Oryzias latipes: one gene and its partners. The main gene of each other region encodes a partner of the protein of the gene in region 3 in a complex. Links are inferred from orthologs where the notes say so. Each region holds a gene or a part of one and is shown on either strand. Other genes may lie near its edges.

The links.
Region 1: mks1 (region 3) and transmembrane protein 216 share a complex: the UniProt entries of both Homo sapiens proteins name them as parts of the tectonic-like complex. The link is inferred for Oryzias latipes from reciprocal best matches to the Homo sapiens genes MKS1 and TMEM216.
Region 2: mks1 (region 3) and tmem231 share a complex: the UniProt entries of both Homo sapiens proteins name them as parts of the tectonic-like complex. The link is inferred for Oryzias latipes from reciprocal best matches to the Homo sapiens genes MKS1 and TMEM231.

What each region holds. Positions count from the first base shown.
Region 1 is NC_019868.2:30,553,059-30,557,107, forward strand, and holds transmembrane protein 216, read right to left. Parts: upstream 2,911-4,049; 5' UTR 2,361-2,910; exon of another isoform or gene 2,238-2,360; 5' UTR 2,163-2,237; coding exon 2,153-2,162; intron 1,855-2,152; coding exon 1,841-1,854; exon of another isoform or gene 1,770-1,840; coding exon 1,676-1,769; intron 1,652-1,675; exon of another isoform or gene 1,571-1,651; coding exon of another isoform or gene 1,531-1,570; coding exon 1,438-1,530; intron 655-1,437; coding exon 453-654; intron 387-452; coding exon 371-386; 3' UTR 251-370; downstream 1-250. Other genes in the region: transmembrane emp24 domain-containing protein 9, read left to right, coding at 3,146-3,278, 3,794-3,894. UniProt on the Homo sapiens protein: Part of the tectonic-like complex which is required for tissue-specific ciliogenesis and may regulate ciliary membrane composition.
Region 2 is NC_019864.2:27,557,000-27,561,380, reverse strand, and holds the start of tmem231 (transmembrane protein 231), read right to left. Parts: upstream 2,902-4,381; 5' UTR 2,623-2,901; coding exon 2,484-2,622; intron 792-2,483; coding exon 625-791; intron 1-624. Other genes in the region: gamma-aminobutyric acid receptor-associated protein-like 2, read left to right, coding at 3,518-3,551, 4,301-4,356. UniProt on the Homo sapiens protein: Transmembrane component of the tectonic-like complex, a complex localized at the transition zone of primary cilia and acting as a barrier that prevents diffusion of transmembrane proteins between the cilia and plasma membranes.
Region 3 is NC_019872.2:25,018,191-25,021,813, forward strand, and holds part of mks1 (Meckel syndrome type 1 protein), read left to right. Parts: intron 1-1,123; coding exon 1,124-1,228; intron 1,229-1,639; coding exon 1,640-1,748; intron 1,749-1,863; coding exon 1,864-1,920; intron 1,921-2,353; coding exon 2,354-2,396; intron 2,397-2,478; coding exon 2,479-2,541; intron 2,542-2,615; coding exon 2,616-2,686; intron 2,687-3,623. UniProt on the Homo sapiens protein: Component of the tectonic-like complex, a complex localized at the transition zone of primary cilia and acting as a barrier that prevents diffusion of transmembrane proteins between the cilia and plasma membranes.

The DNA of each region.
Region 1 (4,049 bases), on a different chromosome or scaffold from region 3:
GACCCATCTGCGTTTCTGCGCAGATTGACTCGTCTGCGTTTCTGCGCAGATGGACCCGTCTGCGTTTCTGCGCAGATGTTTCTGCGCACTGACAGCTGAGGGACGGCCTCGTGATTCCTAAGAAAAGAGGACGGACAGCCTTCATGCAAACACAGATCAAAGGTTTTCCAGCTGAAACTCAGACCTGTGGAGGTTCTAGTGGCCCGTGGCCGGCTTCATCTGATTTTGGTGACACACAGAACTCACAAAGCTGCAGAAAAATGTTTATTTACAAAAATCCCTGAAGAATCACAGAAACTTGTGTCAGCGGCACATATGCTAACAACTGTCCTGGTGTCCCTCTGGGCTCCAGAGAACCGCTCTTCTGTCCTCAGTACACCTTGGACCTGCACAAGAACATCGAGGGTCAAAGACTTCCCGGCTCTCAGAACCGGCCTGCGGGCTCAGGGTACCTGGAGAAGGAAGATAAGGCGATGAATCCCAGCAGGAACTCCAGGCCGTAGAAGCAGAGCAGGACGGCGCAGAGCAGGAACTCCAGCCGCAGAACGAAGGTCTGCAGCAGCAGGTAGTAGACGGCGAGCGCCGCACAAGAGACCAGGATGAAGAGCGACAGGCAGGAGGTCAGGGAGCGCTCACACAGGTTCCCCTTCCAGCCTGAATCGACACAGGGGGACAGCGTCAGCGCCTGCAGCCGGCCTTGAGAACCAGCACAGAGCCTGAGCGGCTGAACGCTTCGCCGCAGGTTTGAGTCTGATGTTTCCAGGCAGCAAACGTCTGCAGAGATGCTTTAACCCCTTCATGCCCACTGGTGCAAGGAAGAACCACTCCTCCTCAAACCGACTTTCATTTAGCCTCAACTTGAAAGCAAAAACACAACTGATCATTTTTTCATAGCTGGATATAAATTCTGGCGTGGGGGGGGGGGGGGGGGGTCATGTCACTTCCACAGACAGAACCCTGGAACCCAGGAGGAGAACCCTCCACCTCCGTCTGGGAGGCCGTCCAGGTGAAGAGTGAGAACGCTCTCTCCTCATTGGACCACCGCTCAGACGGGCGTGGAGAGGTTCTGCACCGAAGGTTCCGCTTCAACAGAACCTTCAGAGGCGGAGCTCCGAACACAACGATGAAGGTCACACATTCACACACGGAACCAAGCTTCTTCCTGCTTTGATCTCCAGCATCATCATCGTTTACACATCCCAGCATGCCTTTCATGCTCTGAAGTCCTTTTTAAATCTGAAAACCACATTCTTGGTCTTTCTGACACTTCCATGCTAGCATAGAACCGTGATTGTTCTGACGTTAGCTCATCCAGCACCAATGTCAGGCCCGTCTGCATCCTCTTCATCCTGCATGTTCCATCTTTGTTCTCCAGAACCTCTCAGCCGCACTTGCGGTTCTGGAGAAAGCAAAGCAGATGTTTGTGTTTGGCGTCACCGTAAAAGATGCGCAGAGCCTCCAGAGCGAGGAAGAGGAGCAGCAGGACCACATCCAGGACCAGATTGTCAGACGGGTACGGCAGCAGGATCCCTGCAGCGACACCAGCAGCAACCGTCAGACGCTCCTCCATGACGTCCAGCAGAGGAACAGAGGACAGGCTGGAGGTTCTACGACACCTTCGGCTTCATTCTCAGGTGAAGCCGTGGTGAACCTGCAGGGGGGCGGGGCCACACACCTTTGTAGATGAACATGAGGATCTCCGCCAGGTAGAAAGCGGCAAAGTACCAGCTGTTCAGGTAGAGCAGCACCTGCAGAGGCGTGGAGGACAGCTGAGGAGGCGTGGTCAAGGACAACTGCGGCTGGTGGACAGGCCCCGCCCCCTCTGACAGCAGAAGGATACGATTGGTCGGCTCCCTGCAGACGCGGTGAGACAAAAATGTTGTCAAACTGAGAGTGAAACTGAACGTGAGGCTTAAGAAGCGTTTAGGAGACGTGACGGTTGTTGGACCGGATTATCTTTAGCTTTAGACGGTGGTTTAAGAACGTTTCAGAGGTAAACACCGAGTGGGAATGTTTTTAGCCGCTAACCGGAAATCAACGGCGGACCGGAAGTGTTTCCGTCCGTCTCTGATAGCTGCAGAAAAATGACGGGGAAAGACGGCCTGCGGTTTTTGCGCCGTTCTTTCTGCGACGATGATAAGAAAACACTCACCAGGCGCCATGTTTGAGCCGCTGTGGTCGCTATGGAAACGGCTCTTCTTCCCTGGACAGCGTCAGGCGGGGCTCCGTGCTGCCCCCTGCTGGTCAGGATGAGCAAACAGAAGACACTAATATTTGAAACAATTTCACATTATTTTATTAATGGATGTTCTTCAGTTTCACCACTGAATCACTCTAAATACATAATTAGTCGATGTTACCTTTTATCATCAATGGTCTGAAATCACGTGACATGCGGGTTTCTGTTGCTGTTTCCTGTTGGACCCTCAGAGACCTCATTTAAAGAAAATAACTGTTCTTTCTGCGACATCAACATAGAAACACTTGATCATCTGTTTATTAAATGTATAAATACTAACAGGTTTTGGGAGGATTTCTTTTGGTGGTTCTCTTCAAATTTTCTTATTTCTATTTGGTTACAAAACACATTGTATTACACATTGTATTATTTGGAGTCGTTTCTGGTGATAACTTATTTAGTTTGGCATTTAATACTTTATTAATTTTTGGGAAATTTTTCATCTATAAAAGGCAGATTTTTACAAATCAAATCATTATTCAATACATTTCATAAAGAGATCTGTTTATATTTTAAATGCAATAAAACTGTCAATTTTCATTGAAGATCACATGTTAAATGACAATCCCTAGTTCTCTGAACTACGGTTCTAATGTTATTTATTTATTTGTCTTGTATCTTACTCTTTTTTTCTTTTGTTATGTCTTTCTATTGTAGTTACATGAATGTGTAATCCTTTGAAGTTGAATTAAAAAACCCACAGTGACTCCAGGAGGAGGAGGAACCTTCACAATCTGGTTCTGATGTCATCCGCTCTGCCCAGCACACAACTACAATACCCAGCTTGCCATCGCAGCGCTCTGATTGGTCGAAGGCGCGCCAGGGTTTACGTGGCACTGCTGCGGACGCGCAGACTCCGTCTGAGCTCGGTGGTTCCGGCTGGAAGACGGTTCGGTCCGGATCAGCATGCAGCCGTGCGTGTTGGCGCTCCTGCTGCTCGCGCTCTTCTGCAGCCGCGCGCCCGCGCTCTACTTCCACATCGGAGAGCTCGAGAAGAAATGTTTCATCGAGGAGATCCCGGACGAGACCATGATCATCGGTGAGCGGCTAAGCTAGCTGCCGCGCGGCTAACGCTCACAAAGTTCCGGTTCGCCGTCAAAAAGTTTCCCAACGCCGCCAGAAGTAGTTAGTGAACCGTTTGATGAACGGAGACGTTGGCGAACACCTCGTAGTAGAAGTTGGTGAGGATGTAGGATCGGTCTTTTACCGGGGAACGGAGGACGGTTTAAGCTAACTTCATCCTATCAGCACGCGGATAACAAACCAAACCGCCTGAAGAATCCAGCCCGTTCCCCGAACCTAGACCAGGAACCCAAGCGGTTCTCCTGGAGAATGGGCAGGCAGCTCCTCCAGGAGGAACCAGCAGGTGGAGGTCCGGACCAGAGTTGATGATGGTTCGTTCTGAAGGAGCTGTCTGGGACCGGTCGCTCCCTGAGGTTCCTGCAGAACCGGGAAAGCGGGTCCAACGGTCCTGACCAGCGCGTCCAAGGACCGGAAGTGCTGCGTTCAGCCGGATGTTGTCACTGACTGTGGGGCGCTTGTGTTTGTGTGCAGGAAACTACCGCACGCAGCTGTACGACAAGCAGAAGGAGGAGTACCTGCCGGCCAGCCCGGGTCTGGGCATGTTTGTGGAGGTCAAGGATCCTGACGAGAAGGTAAGCGCCGGAGGAGGTCCTCCTGACACGTTAGTGCCGTGATGCTCACTTTGAGGAAGGTCTCTTCGTTAGATGGTCTCTGTAACCACGGCAACCGCGTCCTGACCTCCGTAAACATCCAGAGGAGGACTTGGAGCTGCTGCTGTTAGTCTTCT
Region 2 (4,381 bases), on a different chromosome or scaffold from region 3:
TCATTTAGCCTTTTTAGTTTCTAACGGTTATATAGAATCCATTTTTTTATGGTAAACACGATTATTGAGAAAATGAGGTGAGAATAAAATCTGTGAAGCAGCAACAACTTTCTGGGTTCATTTGGTTGAAACGCTTGCCTGTATAGCAAAAATGTGATGTGATTTAAGAACAAACCTTATATTTCAAAAGGGCCAAAGATCCCAGCGGGCCAGTAAGTATTCTAAGTGGACTTGAGTTTAAAAAAAAAACTCGTTTCTCACAGTGTTAACACCTTATTGGTCATATTTTCTTCAAAAACTGTGTGTGGATCTACAGAAGTACTTTCTCTTTGTCTGTACTCTGATCATTTTTAGGTAAATGGGTTTGTGTGTAAACGCACAGCAACATACTTTTCTGGTAATAGATATTTGTCTTAAAGAAATATTTTAGACACATTAAGGTTTTGGTTTAAAGTATAGAAACAAAAAGCATGGACCAGCTTTTCATCAGGGCTAATCAATGAAAGATTGCCATGGCAACAGGAGCAATGCTTTGAAATGCAGCTTACACAATGACATAGGAATGTGGTTCTTAAGACTTGAAAAAGTGTCACACATATCAGTGATACACAAATGTGTTCTCACAGAGACGGCAGGGATCCGCAGGTTGGGCCCCAGCATGTTGTTGAGGTGTGGGAAGGTACTCCAGGCCACATAGTCCCCTTGAGTGCCGGTGGCTGCAACCATCAGAGTCTGGTACTGAAACCTCACAACCGGCTGTTCTTCATACGTGCTTCGCTTTAACCAGAAACCTGAAATTGAAAAAACAAAACTATAAGGTTTTAGGAACTTTTTGACGTTGAGATTTCTTCTAATTCTATGTTACCATCAAACCAAAAACCAAACATAAAATAGCATAAGATTTCTATTAGAATCCTTCAGCCAAACTTCCCACAATCTCCTATAGAATTTGCTTCATTTTTTTTTTTTGGAATGGAATTTGCTTCTTGACAAGGTTTGTCATGCAGAAAACATGTCCATCTGATGTACCCAGAATTCAACAACTTTTCTGACTTTTCCATGGCATTTTTTACATTTGAACCCATTTTTAAAAATTACAGAAGACGTTTTAAAAGCATAATTCATCATTTACCAAATATGTTCGAATAATTCAGTTCAAAATAGCAGCATTTTTGTCACATTTGTTCCACAGCATTAATAAGGGCATTTTTGAATGGTAATATGGGTTACTGTTGTATTACAAGCAAAGGCACTAATGTGCAATGAAAGCCAGCATGAAAATAACACAACGTAAATTCTGTTCCTGTAATGGATTTGAAACATTCAAATCAAATAAAACTTTATTTATAGAGCAGTTTTTCCAACTTGAGTTACTTAAAGTGTTTTACATAAAAACATAATCCAATTTTAAAAAACCAAAAGCAAGACAAAAAATATGTATACAATGCATAAAATGCCCCCCGCCGCACACACACATGCACGCACACATGCACGCACACTATAGTAGTGCATCAAATGATTCACTAAAATGATGCAAAGTAGAAAGTAGAAATCCGGCTTTGTGGGGAAATTATAAACCGTCCTCACAAGTGAGCCCCACCCAAGTTCACAGAATACACTACAGGACTCCCCAGATGCAAGAACCAGACCCAGAAGATCCCACTGCAGCGATCCCCATTCACTGAAAAGGCTCGGCCACCTATTTGGAAGAAAATTGTAAACATGTCAAAAAAAAAAAAGTTTGGTAAAATTTAATAGGTGTGGGATTATAAATTCACTTCTTTCCCACCCAATTAATCAAACTCTATTTAAAAAACATAATATTTTATGGATTCAATGTATTGCACACGTGTGTACTGTATGAATAGGTGTAGATATACCTATTTATGATACATTGTAATGTCAAGTGTATAAAAACATTTTCTGTCATTTTATTTTTCTCAAACCAGTTTAGGAACTAATATTTTAAAATGATACTATATATACATACACACATATATATATGTATATATTTTGTTTTATTTTAGAGCTGAAAGCTGCATGAAATCCATCAATCAAATCAAAACACATCCAACAGATTTAAGGCTAATCTTTCAACAGACACAAATGGATTTAGTCATTTTGAAAACAACTCATATCTAGACTTAAAGCAAAAGTTGTAAAAACTTGGGTTATTTAATATAAAAGCTTATTCATATGCATTCAAAGAGAATAGTTGTTGTCTAAATCAAATAAATCTGAGTAAAAATGGAATGAAATATTGCTGAAATGTTATTAATTTGTTATTTTTACTGGACTAATAAAACTTTATTTAAAAGGCCCTGGCTTTACTCATAGGCTTTGTAACGTGTAAAGTAATATAGATAATAAAAATCCTTTTTTTATATTCTAGCATAAACAAAGACTTTAACAAAAACATAATATATTCTTTTGTTCAAAATGAAATAAATGGACACTTTAAAGCCTCGATATATATACTGTACCTTGACTCCTATAAGCAACAAGCAGAGGTGGGATGTAGGTTAGGCACAAAACAACAACCAGGAACAGCGTAGCCTTTGTGCAAACACTGGTTTTGTACCGAATTACAGCCGGATGAGAGTACACTTCGTAGAAAGCCATACGTTCGGTGTAAAGACAGCTAGCTGTAAGGCTACAGCTGGAGATGCTAACCTAGTAGCGGACTAAATGATTACCGGCGTAAAAATGTCGATACTACCTAAACTGGTCGTTAAGAAACTCCAAAAAATCTTCCTCTGGATTCTAAACGCCAGTAAATTCATATTTTTCTGATAACTTTTCGCGTTGAAATGCTATTTTGCTAGCCCCTGCAACATGTAAGGAAACGAGCCCCCCGCCATATTTCTGCAGCGTCCCTCGGTTTCCATGGCTACCATGGTTCAGGATGCATTCATGAACTGTGGGGAATGCTGAAACTCTTCTGTGGTCCTGAAATTAAGTAAAAGCACAAAAGTAGTTATTTCATTTCATGCCTGGAAAATTCCCATATATTATTATCTTTTTACGTTGTTATGGGAACTATTAATTTTAAATAAAAGCTCAAATAAAAGCATTAAAATTTTTTATACAATTGTGTTTCTAATAATAAATGCCCATGACCGTTCTAAGGCATTTCAATGTATCATTTTTGTTTCATTGTTTATTCAGTCTGACTGTATTAATTTTGTATTTCTTTGGTGTTGTTTTCATTAAACTAGAAGGATATTAATGTAGAAACTAGATATTAATGCGTGTCTGTCAACAGCCCCAACTACAAGGATTTTTTTGGACCGAGCACTGCTGGGCGCACTTGAACGCACCAGGAGCACCAACAGCCAGACGGTGACGTCACCTCTCCGCGAGACGGACAGCTGAGCAACAGAAGCTCTTTGTTGACGTTTTGTTTTGGTCGCTTTGGGCAGGATTTCTGCAAGTTTGAACCCCCAACAGGGTTAGCTGATCGTGAAGCCCGCCTTTCGCCCCTGCCGTCACGCATCAGTGCGGGAATCCAGCAAAGATGAAATGGATGTTTAAAGAGGACCATTCCCTCGGTAAAAAGGGTTTGGGTTGTTGTTATGAAACCAGAGAGAGATGTCCTCTTTTCATGTCGCGTGTTTTTCCTTTTTGCTCCGCGGACTGTGTGTCCTTCGATGTGGCTCCACCACCCATCACAGACACACTAACGCGGGGTTTTCGCAGGAGCCTGCCGGAAATCGATCCTGCTTAGCTTGGCATGATCATGCTAACACGCATTTGCTGCAGGTTGTTTAGGATCACCTCAAGAGAAACGCCATTTAAAGCATTGCATCATCATCTAGTATTGCTTTAATTTCAATATTTTGCATGCATTACTTAAAAAAGTATGGTGGATTAAAAAAAAACAACCTTTTTTTTAATCTATTTTTACTGTTTTTTTCTATTAGGCCTAGTTTGTGTTATATAAGATCCTTCTGTGAAGTTTTGTCTTGTCATTCTCATGGTAATTGGATAACCTTGAGGACTCTTTTTTTTTTAAAGAAGCACCTCTGAAGATAGAACTTTTATCTGGGCTAATGAACCTAGATGGAGTCCTCCCCTCACTCACTCACTCCTCCCATCCTCCCTGCACATCCATGTGTCTGAAATGAATTTGCATGAAGATGTTGTACTATTCCTCTGAAACAGAGGATCATGAGTGGGAAACATACACTTCCCCCATCTTGTGTTGTGCTTGTTCAAGGCTGAAGACAGGAAATCCCCAGAGGACGCACTGATCCCTTTAATCTCTGACTTCCTGTTTGTTTGCTGTCTCTTTCCTCAGAGCACCGATGTGTGGAGTCAGCCAAAATACGCAACAAATACCCGGACAGAGTACCGGTGAGTTGTGGGGGCTGGGTGCTTT
Region 3 (3,623 bases):
AATGGTGTGGCTCAGAAATTGGAGTCTTTGTCTAACAATGTTTCTTCAAGCTGCAGAAATCTGGGAGTGAAATTTGATACCAATTTGAATGGGGAGACCCATGTTAAATCTGTGGTCAAATCTTGTTTCTGGCAAATACAAAGGTTATACAGAATAACCTCTCTCCTATCAAAAAAATGTCTTGAGATGGTGATTCATGCTTTTATTTTTTCCCGTCTGGACTATTGTAACGCACTCTACACATGTCTTTCACAGCAGAGTGTGTATCAACTCCAGTTAGTCCAAAATGCGGCCACCAGACTCCTAACCAAAACCAGAATGAGAGACCACCTCACTCCAGTTTTAGCGTCTTTGCACTGGCTCCCAGTCCATTTTAGAATAGATTTTAATGATGCATTAATAGTGCATTTAAAGCACTCTGTGGTCTGGCCCCTAAATATATAGCCGATCTCCTCATTCCTTACGTACCTGGTCGCAATCTTAGATCTTCGGCAAAAGGCCTTTTAACAATCCCACAATCTAGATTGAAGATCAGGGGAGACAGGGCCTTTGCTGTAAGAGCCCCAACACTCTGGAACAGTCTCCCTGAAGAGATCAGGCTCGCTGGGTCCCTACCATTATTTAAATCTCTTTTAAAAACCCACCTCTATAGGAGTGCTTTTAATGATTTTACCGGTTCTTAAATTTAAACATAGGATTTATTTAAATTTTTTTTTTTTTATTGATTCATTGATTTTAACTGCTATCACTGTTTTGTGTGTGTGCTGGGTTTTATTACTACATACTGTAAACTGTTTGTAATCCGGATTTTGTCTCATATTAATTGTACAGAATTTAGTAATCTCGTTTTCGAAAAGTGCTATATAAATTAAGTAAATTATTATTGGTACTTAGACTGAGGATAAAGCTTCTCTACATGTATTTTCTACATCTGAAACCAGACAAATCATTGATGTTTTGTATGATATTTTCCCTTGTGCTATTTTGTGGGGTCCAGATGCACATACCCCACAAGACAGCACAAGGGTTGTAAGAGGTAAACTTTTTAATCTCATGACATGCAGAGCTGGCCAGTGCAAAGCTCTACTAACCATTTGACAGGATGTTTATTGTGAATTTTCAGGCTTGGTCAAAAAGAGAACGAGTGCCTGCTGATAACTATAAAAACCGACGGCCATGGAACTATAGTTGTAAAACCTGACTTCAACAAAGGCCGAGAGCCCTACAGGCAAGTTTACAAGGCTTCTGTGATGGCTGAGAATGAATCCTACATTTTTTAGCGTATCATTTAACCCTTGTGCTATCTTAGATGACCCCACCCTTGCATTGACGTGTAATTCCTACCATGACAAAGGTGGATAAAGGTGGAAAGATTTCATGTAATCCATGGACACCAGTGAAGATCACAAATCATTGAAGAAAAAAAGTTCAGAGCACTGAATAGTGGGTCTAGATGACCCAACTCCCAATGGTAAAGTGCCTAGGATAGCACAAGGGATGAGTAGAATGGCAGCAGTAAGCTGCAAATCCTAAAACGATTGTATGTTTAAAAAAAGAAAAAAGCAAAGTACATTTAAAACCACAGCAAAAATAATAGAGTGAATCAGACATTTAACCGGACGTTTGTGTCGTTGGACAGGATTGTCGCTGAGGGAGAAAACCGAGAAATATGGCGTCTTACTTTTGAGAACGTATCAAAAAGCATGAAGCCAGAGGAAAAAAACAAGGAGCAGAACATGTATAAAGATGTGAGTCAATATCAGCATTTTCTAATAAACCAGGAAAGAGATTCAGAACATTTTTATTGCTAAAATGGAAGATGAAAGCTGTAATCAGGATCAACTTTGTCCCTCCTCTTTATAGCTGTATGTGAGGCACAAAGAGTTCCTCAGTGGTCTTGTTGGACAGGACTTTGAAATGGTAAGGCGTTTTTTGTTTTAAACTTTATTTTTATTGATTTTTTGTTACATGAAAACAAACCACAAACTACATTCAAAACAGAGGTCAATCCTGTGTCTATTTGTTGAAAAGTGTCCATTTTTTCCACATTCGGTGTTATTGTGACTCTTGCAGTCTCAGCCTGTATGTTATTGTTTCCGTTGAATAAATGTCGTTAATTGCTGGTAAGGCGTTTTAATGTAACGTTTTTAATTCAAATTTTCAATGCTTACCATGGTCTAAAAAAAAGACAAGTATGTTATGATCTATCAACTATATACTAAAGAGCAAATTCTTACATTTGAGGAGTTTTAGCCAAAAAAAGGTTTAAGGATTAAGGTTTAAGGATAGTTATCACTTGAGTAAATGTTGACTTGTATTTAGGTTTGTGAGCTATGAGATGTGTGTTGTTTAGCCTCCTGCAGGTACACTGCGTTACCTGATGAACGGAGAAATAGGTAAGTCAAAAGGCAGAGCTAACTTTAGCAGTTATATATATATAATACACGTTTAGAATTAATAACTACTATTTTTTTACAGTCTCAGCTCAAGGCTTTGAATATGACAACTTGTACATACACTTCTTTTTGGAATTGCCCAATAGTAAGTCTTAAGTATCAGTAGTTGTTTGATTGTTGTTTTTGCCTCTTTAGCTGTAACTGATGTTTTTCTTTCAGATTGGTCCAGTTTGCCTTCTCAGTCTCTATCAGAGGTCACCCAGACCTGTCGGACCAAGTCTCTTGAAAAGGTGTGAACGTTTTGCATACGCTTAGCTTGAAAAGCTACACAATTCCACAACAGTTTATCTAAAAAAGTCTTCAAGACTAGCAATTGCTGAGTCGACAATGAACGTCTCTGCCGAAACATACCTTTAAAAGACTGGAAAAGTAAGAGCATCAGTGTAGGAGAGTGCAGCAGAGGCTTAGTTAAAGCATAAAGCTCAGCCACAACTTGCTGTCTGTCTGCAAAATTCTGTAACTGGAAATAAAAGAATCCATAAACGGCTTTGCCACCCTGGACACACCAGTCCCCAGAAGCTAACCGGGGTAACGCCTGATTGTTTCTTTAATGAGAGATTGTCTGGGACTACTATGTGCTGTAAATGACTGCGGGCACACAGTGGGCACTCTCCAGTGTTTCCATGTGCCTGTCCCAAGTCTGGTTAAAGAACAGGGTTTGGCATCTGCTGTACAACTGAAGTCAAATGTGCAAGTCTTGACTGGGCGTCCCTTTTAAGCTAGATGCCCAAAGGAAAAAGGCCCTGTAAATGTGTAGAGACAAAAAACAAGTTTGTCAAGTGGTTGTTGCTTTAAGGTGCATCTCGGTTTTGTACTGACAATGCATTCCTGTATATTTTCTGATACTTAATGGCTTACATTTAGAAAAAAAAAAATCTTGATTGCTTGCATGTAAGAGACTAGGGAGCCGGTTTAGCTCGTGCTGGTTTGCGGCGCCTTCCGTCTGTGGAAGTTCATGTTTTACTTCGAAGCCCATCGAGACGACTGTTGTTGTGATTTTGGACTATACAAAGAAAATTGAATTGAATTGAATTGAATTGAAACCCAGGTTCAAATCCGGGCTGCTCCCTGTTCCCTTCTCTACCTCTGTGCCGGTCCCAAGCCCGGTTGCTTTGAGAGGCTTGCGTCAGGAAGGGCATCCGGCGTAAAACATTGCCAAGTTTACCA